Linked DNA regions of Coturnix japonica. The protein of the gene in region 2 purifies or fractionates together with the protein of the main gene of each other region. This does not show direct contact. Links are inferred from orthologs where the notes say so. Each region holds a gene or a part of one and is shown on either strand. Other genes may lie near its edges.

What was found.
Region 1: the proteins of BAZ1B (region 2) and MYO1C purify together in Homo sapiens (affinity purification with western blotting; 3 studies listed by BioGRID, with this or other methods). This does not show direct contact. The link is inferred for Coturnix japonica from reciprocal best matches to the Homo sapiens genes BAZ1B and MYO1C.
Region 3: the proteins of BAZ1B (region 2) and SMARCA5 purify together in Homo sapiens (affinity purification with western blotting; 11 studies listed by BioGRID and IntAct, with this or other methods). This does not show direct contact. The link is inferred for Coturnix japonica from reciprocal best matches to the Homo sapiens genes BAZ1B and SMARCA5.

The regions. Positions count from the first base shown.
Region 1 is NC_029534.1:4,034,589-4,038,926, reverse strand, and holds the start of MYO1C (unconventional myosin-Ic), read left to right. Parts: upstream 1-1,470; 5' UTR 1,471-1,593; coding exon 1,594-1,611; intron 1,612-4,338.
Region 2 is NC_029534.1:145,416-149,731, reverse strand, and holds the start of BAZ1B (tyrosine-protein kinase BAZ1B), read right to left. Parts: upstream 2,851-4,316; 5' UTR 2,731-2,850; coding exon 2,618-2,730; intron 1-2,617. UniProt on the Homo sapiens protein: Atypical tyrosine-protein kinase that plays a central role in chromatin remodeling and acts as a transcription regulator. Involved in DNA damage response by phosphorylating 'Tyr-142' of histone H2AX (H2AXY142ph).
Region 3 is NC_029519.1:26,881,524-26,885,101, forward strand, and holds part of SMARCA5 (SWI/SNF-related matrix-associated actin-dependent regulator of chromatin subfamily A member 5), read left to right. Parts: coding exon 1-6; intron 7-118; coding exon 119-250; intron 251-984; coding exon 985-1,053; intron 1,054-1,611; coding exon 1,612-1,721; intron 1,722-1,990; coding exon 1,991-2,217; intron 2,218-3,343; coding exon 3,344-3,465; intron 3,466-3,545; coding exon 3,546-3,578. UniProt on the Homo sapiens protein: ATPase that possesses intrinsic ATP-dependent nucleosome-remodeling activity.

The DNA.
Region 1 (4,338 bases), about 3.9 Mb from region 2:
GAGCTGCAGGTGCAGATTAGGTGTTCTGTGTGTGGGCAATGCTTTGTACACAGGATAAACCTGCATTGAATTTGCAGCCATTTGTCAAGCTCCTTGCTAATTGTAGAGTCACACACGATGAAACATTTGATGAGAGAGGCCTGTTAAGAGCATAGAATAAAGGATAATGGGCGACAATACGCTCTGTGTGGATTATGACTGTGTTGTGAGACTTGCAGACAGAAACCCATCTTTTCCATTAGCCACTAAGAGTCACGTCAATTGGATGACCAATTTTATTGTTGCTGATGCTTGGAAATGGCAGAGCATGGGACAGAAGTGTGTATGCGAGGGTCTGTCTGCCCACTAGGCAGCTGTGTAGCTTAGACCACTGAGGAGCAAAATAACAGAATCACTGAACAGTTTGGATTGGGAAGGACCTGTGGGAGACTCTGGTGCAACCCTGCTTTAAAGCAGGGCTGATTTAGATCAGATTGCTCAGCCTTTGTCCAATTGAATCTTGGGTATTTCCAAGCGTGGAGTTTCACAACTTTTGGGGGCCTCTATTGTGGTATTTGATGGCTGTTATAGTAGGTTAAAAAAATGTCATAATATCTCCTTGGAATTTCCCTGCTCTCCACTTTGTCATTGCCTCTTGTCCTTTCACTTCCACTTGATGCATATGCAAAGGCAAATATACATTTTGATTTCTGTCAATGCCCTCATCTCAGGGCACTGATGGTTTTCACAGCCTCGGTGTAGTGATGGCCAATATGCCCTGATGACCCGCAGGGCAGAGAAATGTGCCACTTGTGATTGCAGTGCATGGTGATTAAAGGCAACAGGGGCTTCACCGTGCCCAGTAATGGAGTGTCCTATGTGGCAGTGCTGGTTATTTGGTGACGAGAGCTTCCATAGAAAGTGGGTGTTCTGAGAGCGGGTGTCTGCAAATGCTTGGGAATAAATATTGCTGAGCAAATATACCGAGTCCTTGCAAGGACGGACAAGGCAGACTGTGTTACCTGTGGACTCTTTGCGGTCCTGTGACTTGCTGAGAGAATGATGACAAGTGGAATTATAATTATACTATAATTGCCCAGGAGGTTCTGCTGTGGTTGGGGTGAGTCTGGAGTGGATACGGGGAGCCCTCTTGATACAGCTGCTGCTGTTTCAGTGCAGAAAGGAATTACCGTAGCGGAGCAAATGGCTTCCTGTCCTGTTTGCTGTGGTTTGGCTTGTTGGGCTGCACACCAGTTTTTCCATCACCCGTGATTACTTTTCTTTCCGTTTTTCCCCCCATTGGGTTGCAGGGACCCAGCTGCAGGCTGAAGGCAGAGGACAGCCGACTTCTTTCCTCTCCCCATGTGTGCTGTGTGTCCCCTCGTAGCAAGGGGAGGAGAGTTCCCCTCCCTTCCATTGTAAAACGCCCTCTCTAGGATGCTCCAGTAGGAGCTGGTGGGAGGGAAGGAGTTCTGACTGCGCTGAAAATGTCATTAAAAAAAAAAAAAAAAAAGGGCAACTGACAGAAGAGAGAATTTGTCCTCAGATTCCTGCTTTATGCAGCGGCGTAAACCAAGTCTCTGAAAGTGCTGAGAGAGCTGGAAGGAGTCAGAGATGAAGTACAGAGGCGCGGTAAGCTTTATTTTACTGCTTTGATATTTGTGCGGTTTTCGGCTGTGTGCTTCTCCGTCTTGTCTAGACTGAGAGGAAGAGAAATAAGTTTAGAAGGTTTCAGCATAAGAGTGGAATGTTTGAGCCCGCTTTAGTGGGAAGGTTACTTGAAAGTGGTTGGAATAGGGGAAAAAACCAAACAGAACATAAATGTATTGAGGCAGCAGTGAAGGTGGGAGTTCGGAAAGTGGGAAGTGAGGGCTTAGCAGCACGTTGTGTTAGGGGAGAAGAAAGGGTGGAGCTTTTGCTTGGGTGGAGGGGACACAAGCCTGGGAGTACCGTGGTGGTGGGCACTGGTTGTGTCCCACCCAGGGACTGTGCCCATGAGTACAGACTGCCACAGGGAATGGCAGGAAATACCTGCTGAAGGACTCACTGCCATTCTGTCCCTCTGGGATGTATTTACTTTAGCACAACTTTGTCCATGCTTTAGCGGCAGCCAGGAAGCCTGAGTCTGTGCGCAGCACAGCAGAGCTACCCAGAGCTTTGAAATGTGTAGCAAATGATGGAGGAAATTAGGGTTATTACATAGAAAACATGAAAAAGAGAGGAGAAAAAGTAACATACTATGTAATTTGACAGTGAGGGCAGAACACGAGCTCCTGTTCTCTGTGCGGTAACGTAGGAACAGGGGCATTCCATTTGGTTAAAAGCTGTCAAATGTTTGTGATTGCTGTCAAATGCAGTGATTACTGTCATACAGTTTGTAGTTGTGCCACGGAATTCACTGACCCTGGAAGATGCTGAGGTCAAGAATTTAACATTATTAAAAAGGGGGAAAAAGTGGATGTGGGGTTTTGTCTGGATGAGAATATCCAAAGCTTTAATTGGTTAAGTTTGCAAATCTGGGAGGAGAAGGAATGAAGACAACTCAGTTCTAGGTTTAAACAATTCTCCAACTGTTGAACTGGGGCCAGAGTATCCCATAACTGCTCAACCTGGAGATCCTTGCATCTTTCCCAAGGAGTCCATCTGATGCTGAGCTCTGCATGAGGAACTCTGTCCATGCCAAAGGGAAGCACAGAGCTTCTGGAGGACCTGCCTGCCTGCTCCCAGCAGCACGATGCATTTATAGGTGGAGTGCATTGTGCTTAAGGATTGTGGTTGGCTTTCTCTTGGCACAGAGGATGGTAGGAGGCAGCCAACCTGTGTCCAGCAACACAATACAGAAACAGTAGTTTTTTAGGGTGATAGCAGTGGTGTTGTCTAGGGTGGTGGTTTGATATTCTCCTAGAGAGCATGTGGGTGTGGAAGTGCCCTTCGCATGCACTGAGAATGCATTGCAGTGCTTGCCCTGTTTGGAAAGTTTTACTGTGTTTGAAAGACATAATGGTCTGAAATGGTTGTGTGGGGCGTGTGGAATCCAGGGCAGAAGGTGGGAATCTCTAGTGCGGGGAAAGGCAGAGTACACCAAGAATAACAGTGAGTCACACAGTGTACAAATATGCGAGAGAGAAGAAAGAATGTGTTCATTTAGAGAAGACTACAACAGCAGTTAGCAAAAAGCAGGGAATGGGGCCACAAGGTCAGCACCCCATTGCTGCGGGCTGGGAACAAGTCCAAGCCATGGTGCTTATCTGTAGGCTGATGTTTGAGTTTCTGTTCCCTTCTCACCTGCTTTGTCTGATGCAGAGGTGGTGGCAGAAGTTCTCTGGAAGTGTTGTGGAAGGGCAGTGGTTCCAATGTTTGCTCTTTCTGCCATCTGTTTGTCTTCTGAAGCTTCTGCTGGACCTGAGCTCACAGGTAGCACTGCTGTGTATATTGAAATCAGCAACATCTATCAACTAGCAACAGCTTTATGCCACCTGTTCAGGAGCAAAAATGTCAGGTCCTTAAATACAGGAATTCACTTTATTCACATTTCCAGCCTTGTTCGTGTTCCTGGTTTGCCTCATTCATTTTTCTTACCACTCTTTTATATTGAGCTTCTTGATTGAAACATGAGCATCCCTTCTTGGGGAAAACATTTTTTCTCTCCTTCATATTAGTTCTTTAAACTTATTCTTTTCAGTTATAATCTCTTCTCTATATCCAGTCTTTCTTCCTCCATCCCAAAGGTGTATCATCAGGAAAATATGTTTAAATATTGAACAAACAACATTTCCTGCTTCTCGTGCAAATCTCCGTGGCTCCATTTGGTTTACAGCTAATTGTTATTTGCATTTCTAATTTACATTTGAGCTCCTTGGATAGATTTCTATTATAAATATTGCAAGTGTCAAACGCCATTGATTGATATATTAGGAGTGGTAATTAACTGCAGCAGCACCCACACCCTGCATTATTATTTTTCAGAAGAATGAATTTTACTTTCACAGTTCTATCTCTCTGTGACCTACATGCATTTAATAGACACTTAAAATATGCACACAGTGTGATTACATTGCTCACGTTCCCCATTCTGCTTTGCATTTTAGGGTGGGAGATTAAATGTAGCTTGGAGAAGGGGAGGCAGGACTTGTAGCTTCCAGGCAGATTGATGCTAGAGACATAATAAATCTTGGGGAGGGCAAAATAAGCTCGCTTCCCCTATATTTCTGATTATGTAAAGTTTTAATGTACTCCAGCTTGTCTCTGCTTAAAATATGGAAGACTTCAAAATAAATACTTTACAGGAATTAGACAAGGAAGTGGCATTTGTCTCTCCCTAATATGATTTCTTGCATAGTGGTTGTCATAGCTAAATCC
Region 2 (4,316 bases):
GGCTGTTCATTCACTGGGCTTCTGTCTTTGTTTTGGGTTGGATTTTTTGTTGTTCTGGGTGTTTGGTTTTTTTTTTGGTGGTGGTTTGTTTTTGTTTCCTTCCTTTTGCTTTAAGATTTGCATTAGGAAGGCAAGTCACAACTGCAACAAACCCACATCTCCTGGGCATCGCTCCCCAGCCCCGAGGCAGAGCAGGAGCTGCAGGAGTTGAGCAGTGCCAGGCAGCTGCACTCACAGCCCAGGGGCGGCTGCAGCAGCACACGGAGCACCCTGCAGTCAGCCCAGCTTACAGCTCACAACCTCCCAGTGCTCCCTGGCTGTGGACACAGAGCCCAGCAGCCTGTGGCCTCCTGCACACAAGGCACCAGGACCAGAGGGGGATCTGGGCACCTCTCTGCACTGACACCGAGCAGCAGAAATACAACAGGAAGCCAGCAGCCCTGCACGTATCACAGCACTCGGCCGCTTTAGTAATGAACAACTTGACGCCATAACTCTGCTCTTTCCTGAGCCTTCCCTGCAAGAAGGGAAGCCAGCCCAGCCCTCACTGGCAGGGATGCAAACAGAGACAGAGCAGCTCCCAGCTCCCTCCTGCACTGCGCATCCCTCTGCTCTTCCTGCTCGCTGCAGGCACACGGACACCCACCCTGCAAGCACCAAAGCAAACAGCAGAGAACGCTTCTGCAAAGTTTGCTGCATCTCAAACTTCCCACAACACACACACACACACACACACACACACTGTCTGCCCTTTCCACTCGGACTGGAAACAAACGCGGTGCACTTCAGACCATGCAGCAGGTCTGGCACAGTGCGACACGTGGGATGTGCCAGCAGCACTGAGCCAGAGCTGCCACAAAGCTCAGCATGAGCATAAATAACCAACCATGGACACGGCTCCGTGCAGACAGTGCACAGAAACACAGTGCTGTAACACACACGTTGCATGAAACAAACTACCTGCAGCTTGTATCACAGCTACAATCACCTAAATGAGCTCCAACAGCCCCAGGGGCTGCTCTGCTCAGCACAGCCCGGCCAGCATCCCCTCACACTGCCTGATGGAGTCACACAGCAGCCAACACGCGCAGGGAGATGATCCAATGAACACAACTCCACATTTTGACATGAAGCCCCATTGACACAGTGCACACACACAGTGCACACACCTATTGACACAGTGCACACACACACAGCGCACACACACACACCCCGTTGGCTTTCCCAGGTGTGCAGTGAGGTACCAGGACAGGTCTATCCCACACACAGCACATGGAGCATTGATCTGCTCCGCAGCCCACGTGTTCCAGCAGTGCCTGCAGGGCTGCAGCCGGGAGCAGCCCGTTGCAGCACTTTGCCCACACTAAACCCACTCACTCAGTGCACTATGGGCTCCACGTGAGTCCCGGACCCACGGGCAGCACGGCTCCTCTTATCGACTCCTCAGGCCTTGGCTGCAGAACGAAGCTACAAAGGAACGTCACAGCCAAATAAAGTCCCAGGCCACTCTGCCCATCTGCCCTCAGACTCCTCAATGCTGGGTCACGGGACAGCTGTGACTACTCACATTTACCAGACAATGCCACAGTGCCCGTATTTTTCTTCACCCTGTTCTACAGCAGCAAATTCTGAAGAGCCCTGCAGAACTCCATCCCCATCCCTGCCCGTGTGCAAGGCTGGATGGGGCCCTGGCAGCCTGGCCCCGTTTAGATGTGGCGGCTGGTGCCCGTGTCTGTGGCGATGGGGTTGGAGACTCCTGACCATTGCGGTCCCTGTGTTCTGTGAACGCGGTGCCATCACACACCTCACTGACGGATGGGCACCACAGGATCCCGCAGGGCAGGAGCTGATTCACCGCTTCCCCGGGTGGGGAAAGGCCGGCAGCCGGACACAGCACTTGGTGCAGCTGGAGCCAACGAACCGGCCCCACGGGACCCAGCTCCCGCCCGGCTCCATCGCACGCGGCACAAACGCAGCGGTAACACAGCGGTACTTTCTGTTTGCAGCCCGTGACGTTTCTCTGCCGGCGTGAACTTTCCAGAAGGCGCTGGGCCGACAGCCCCTATAGCAGCCCCTATTGCAGCCCCTATTGCAGCCCCCATTGCAGCCCCTATAGCAGCCCATATTGCAGCCCCCATTGCAGCCCCATAGCAGCCCCATAGCAGCCCCATAGCAGCCCCATAGCAGCCCCATAGCAGCCCCATAGCAGCCCCATATTGCAGCCCCATTGCAGCCCCATTGCAGCCCCATTGCAGCCCCATTGCAGCCCCATTGCAGCCCCTATTGCGGTCCCCGAGCCCGGGCTGCCACCATGGCGGCCCCGCTCCGAGCTGCGCCTCAGGCCGGTTCCTCCGGTCAGCAGCAGTGACTCGGCTCCTCCCGGTTCCTCCCGCCCGTTCCGTTGTGCAGCGCGGGACGGGCCCGAGTTCCGGGCAGTTCTTTTGTCTCCTCCCCGGTTCCCGTTGTTTCTCGGTTCCCGTTACTGGGTCGCCCCGCTCCCGGCGCTGCCCGAGGCCGCGGTCCCGCTGGTCGCAGCCCGGTTCCCGCCGTGTGGCGGCTCAGCCCCGTTCCCGCCGCCCGCCCCTTTGTTCCCGCGGCTCCCGGTGCCGTAGGATACTCGCGGGTTCGGAACGCCTCCTGCGTGTGCGGGATGATGAAGCGCTCCCCGCTCTCCCCGGCCGGCAGCGGCCTGGCCAGCGGGAAGGGCTTCCTGCCCAGCAGCGGCGCCATCGGGGCCGGGTCCGCGCGGAGCCGCCGGGCCGGGCGGGAGGATTGAAAAATGGCGGGAGATTCCCCTCCCCTGCCGGGCGGCGGGCCCGGCCCGAGCGCGCGCACCCCAACTCTCCCGCCGCCCCGCGCCTCCCGCCCCCCCTCCGCCCCGCGATTCGATTGGAGGACGGCCGGCAACGCCGCCTTCCGATTGGCCGCCGCATCCGCCGATCGCGCCGCCTCGCCCCGCCCCCCCCGGCGCATCAAGCTGCGTTGCGCCGCGCGCGAGGTGAGAGGTCGCGTTATGTAAGGCGGGACGCGCCGCCATCTTGTGCCGCCGGTGTCCGCCCGCCCCGTCCCGCCGCGGCCAATCGGGGTCGGCCCCGCCCCCACATCCGGGCACCGCGCGGCTTTGTCTGCTCGGCCCGAACCGAGGGGCATTGTGGGAAAGTGGCGGCACCGCTGTGCGCGGCGGGACGGGGAGTAACGGCGGGACGGCTGTAAACAACCGGCGGGACGGCGGCCGGCAGCGCGCAGTGCTGCGATGCACAGCCCCGCAATACACAGTGCCGCGATGCACAGCGCCGTGCCCAGCCCCGCGCTCAGCCCCGCAGTCCCGGTTCTCACCCCCGCTGTCTCAGCTGCTGCTCGGCTCTTTGCGCCGTTCACCCGCAGCTCCCCGAGCTCCCGGCAGCCGTTGCGTTAATTAAAGTTCACATTCTCCCTTTGGACCCATTGCGGTTTGCTGGCGGTCCGTTCAGTGCCGTCACTTATTCACAGCTCTCAGGGGCTCAGGAGCCTTTTCCCGTCGCTCTCACAGCACGAAACGAGCCCGGAGGGTTCGTAGCCCCCGTTCGTTTCCCTGGCTGTGATACAGGGGGCGATCAATCACATATTGCCACAGATCCGTGCTACCTCCTCTAAGCTGCTGCCAGGTGCTCCCATTAGTTGCCTTGTGCTGCACCTCACTGTAACCCGAGGGGTCAGAGAATGTTTGTTCCTGCAGAAGGATGTATATAAAACCCCTTTATAGCTGTTGAAATGCAGTTCTGCAGCTTTTGTTTCTGACAGAAGGCTCCGTGTTTCCACGGAAGCTGTTGAGGTGCCCGTCCCCCTGTGCCCATGTTACAGCTGTGGGCTTTGGCTGCCTCCGCTCCTGCAGCCGCCGGCTGCCCCACTGTCCTGCAGCATCATCCCCGGCCCAATGCAGGACCTGCCCTGGGTCCTGCACCCTCTGTGCCATGTCCCGCGGTGCATCGTGCCCGGAGCTACAGGAGGCCAGAGCCCCCGTCTGTGATAAACGGGAGGGAGCTGATTAATCCTGCAGCCAGAGCAGCCACAGAAGAGTCTTCAGGGAGGATTTAGCGAGCAGTGGCCCAGATACATCAAACCGTCTCCAGCATAACGTGATATCCCATTAGGGCTCCTCTTTGTGTAACAGCTTATGTTACTTATCCTATTAGATGACTGATGCTGCTTTGATGTCTCCCAAGGAGACTGTGCTAAACTTTCTGCCGTGCTTTTCCCAGGTGGATTTCTGCCACCTCTGACACGAGGCAATGTCTGTGCCCACCAGGCGGGTCCTGAACTGATGATGATTTGTGTGG
Region 3 (3,578 bases), on a different chromosome or scaffold from region 2:
TCAAAGGTAATTTATTCTTTTACTCTGTTGCTTTTTTTTTTATTCTTTTTTCTGTGTTGCTAGGTGATGGCAATACTAGTAATGTATTTGTACTCACTGATGTCTCAATCTCCTTCAGTTATCAGAAATTGTGAGAGAATTCAAGACTACAAATCGGCTGCTCCTAACTGGAACTCCACTTCAGAACAACTTGCATGAACTCTGGGCACTTCTTAACTTCCTTTTGCCAGATGTCTTTAATTCATCTGAGGTAAGTCTTAATTGATGTTAGAAAAATTAAGTGACTGGAAATTAATTTTCAGATTTGAAAACATCTCAACGTATGTGTATATGTACTTTGTATTATCAGTTACTTATGGTGATAGATTGACAGTCAGTAAATGCTTCCAATATTGTATCTTATAAGATAGTAGGTAAGCTAATTTTTACAGCTTTGCTGTTTCTAAGGGCTAATGTGAGCATTGCAGATATGAGGTGTCTCAAATTACAGTGTGAAGATGATCTTTACTGTGTTTCACAGTAGGATTAAATATTGGTGTAGCAGTTTACTTATTACATTTAACTGGAAGTTGCTGTATTATTTGTTTCCTATGAGTTGGGAGATACTATGTACTCCACAGTAGACTACACTAAGAGCAAGAGAACTGCATCACAGTACTGTTTAATTACTTCTTTGTAATAAGTGTAGAAGTCGAAGCCTCATGACTTGTTAGATTAGAATTGTCCTTCAATTATATATATATATTATATATATAATATATATTATATATAATGCTTTATATTTTATATATAAAATAAATAATATATATATATATACACTATGTAGTATATATTTATTTTATTTTATTTTTTAACACCAAAAGGGGTTTTGTGATTATTTATTTTCTGCTTAACAGAATGACTTGAGTCTTACCTATTCCCCATTGTAATGGTACTGCACCTTGAAAGAACAGCTCTTACATGTCAGTCATTTTGTTGTTACAGGACTTTGACTCATGGTTTGATACGAACAACTGTCTAGGGGATCAAAAGTTGGTGGAACGTCTCCATATGGTAAGTCTTCATGCTTTCTGTGTGTTACATTTACCTAAGTTAGGTTGTAATTTTTCTAGTACTTCTTGTGATGAGATTATTAAGGTTATAAGAGCTTATTCCAGAAACTGTGTCACGTTTTCAGAAAAAACCAAAGGATGTCAGTTTGTTCAAAATAAGGTAGTTTTTCTGGGGGAGAGAGGAGAGTATATTCTTCTGGCTCTCAAGGTTCTGAAGATACTTGCATTTAAAATGTTAGCTTTCAAGGCACTGCAAAGATTTCAGCTAAGTGAGGTTTAAAACAAAATTACCTAAATGGTCAGAAGTGTTCTACTAAAAGATTGGGAAAACTTCATAATTCTTGTCCTGAAAGTCATGACCTAGAAGATTTGGAGTCTTCCTAGGAAAACTGATGTATGTTCCCATGTATAACAGCCCGCCTATGTTGAGAGCTTTTTCAGATGATCGGGCAATGGCACTGGCATTTGGGTACATAGAGGAGAAAATAACTGCAGTGCTGTTACTGATTGGTTCAATGTTCAGTTTCCAAACTACAGTTAATGATGCTTTCTTTTTCAGGTTTTACGACCATTCCTTTTACGTCGCATTAAAGCTGATGTAGAGAAAAGTTTACCTCCAAAGAAGGAAGTTAAAATTTACGTGGGTCTCAGCAAAATGCAACGAGAATGGTAATTCACATACTTGAGTGTGCTGTGGTTAAGGCTCAGAAGGAATGTGCTGATTGTGGCTCAGTTATTGTGTGGAACTCAATTCCTTCCACTATACTAGATTCTTCTTTCTCTTCTTATGACATTTATGCAGACAAAACTGTGCAGATAAGAGTGAGAAGAGTGAGCTACCCAATTAAATTAAAGGGGGTGAGCTTTTGAATATACCATGTTATTTCACTTTGCTTTATAGTTACTAAAGAGTTTTTTTTTTTCTTTCTTTCATATAGGTATACAAGAATCTTAATGAAGGATATAGATATTTTGAATTCTGCTGGAAAGCTGGACAAAATGAGACTGCTGAATATCCTGATGCAACTGCGAAAATGTTGCAACCATCCCTATCTCTTTGATGGAGCAGAACCTGGTCCACCTTACACAACAGATATGCATTTAGTCACCAACAGTGGCAAGATGGTAGTACTGGACAAATTACTACCAAAGCTGAAAGAGCAAGGTATGCATCACTTCGTTGTTTTTTAGGTGTTGTTCAGTTCAGGTATAAAAATGAAAATCAGAGTCTTCGTGTCTCCTGCACAAAAAGGAGCACGCTATGAAGGATTGTGGTTGATTTCTAAGCATTACACCAGCTTCTTGAGCACTGTATCTTAAATAATTGATAGTGTCTTCATAAATAACTGAGTTGACAGTCCATTACAGCTTTTTGTGGCTCTGAAGGAGGTTTTGGTATGTGTAAGTTTGTTTTCCAGGGAAGCTGAGGCCACAGAAGCATCAGTTGGTCTGGGCTTTAGGTTTGGTTTCTCAGTAACATTGGCTATGTGTAACATAAAGATGTGGTATATTAGCCACTGCTTTGGTTCACCATCGTGTACCATTTCATATTCCAAGTCTTCACGTTGGGTTAAAGTCATATCCTGTGTGCAGTGTTGTTCTTTCAGGATATGACTTTGTACGGCATATGAGTTTTTTCAATGGATTCCTCAAGACAAACATGGAGGAACACGTCAGCTATTTTGTTTTTTTTTTTAATTTTAATTTTTTAAGTTTTACCAGGGACAAAGCTATGGAGTATATTACTGTTAAGTCACCAAAGAAGCAGAGGAAAACTTGTGACTGGGGAGACATTGCTGAAAAACAGAAAATCCAAACCTCAGCCTTAGATAACATAAAAGTCATTTGTGTTTAGTATCCAACGAATATTCAGGTGGAAGATGCAGATCACCACAGCTGTGTCTCTGTCATCCTATTTAGATGTCATTTGAACAGTGAATATGCACTGTATTTAAAGAATAATTGTGTTTAAAGCATTGGGAATTCTTTGCAGTACTTGATAGCAACTTCTGCAGCTCTGCATTCTGTAATATACAGAAGGGTTTGAAGTCACACTGGATTGCTAATTCTTTCACGTTCTTATAGCTGCTCAGTAAAATAGCATATTTTCAACATATTCTATTTTATGTGTATGTATAGTACTGAAAACTTTTTAAATCAGACTTTTAATTATAACTACTGTTGTTCATGGTATATGCAACTGCTCTCCTTCCCTTTCTAATTTGGCAACTTGGAGTGTTTGATGAAGCTTAAGCTTTGGAGAAAACATAAAGGCTTTTTATCCCAAACAGGTTCACGAGTCTTAATCTTCAGCCAGATGACCAGAGTTCTGGATATCTTGGAAGATTATTGCATGTGGCGAAATTATGAATACTGTAGACTGGACGGACAAACGCCTCACGACGAAAGACAGGTATATAAGTATTTCTCTTACACAAAAACAGCATTTATAAAACATTTAGTGCAACTGATGATAATGTTCTCTTTATTCAGGCTTCTATTAATGCGTATAATGAACCTGGTAGC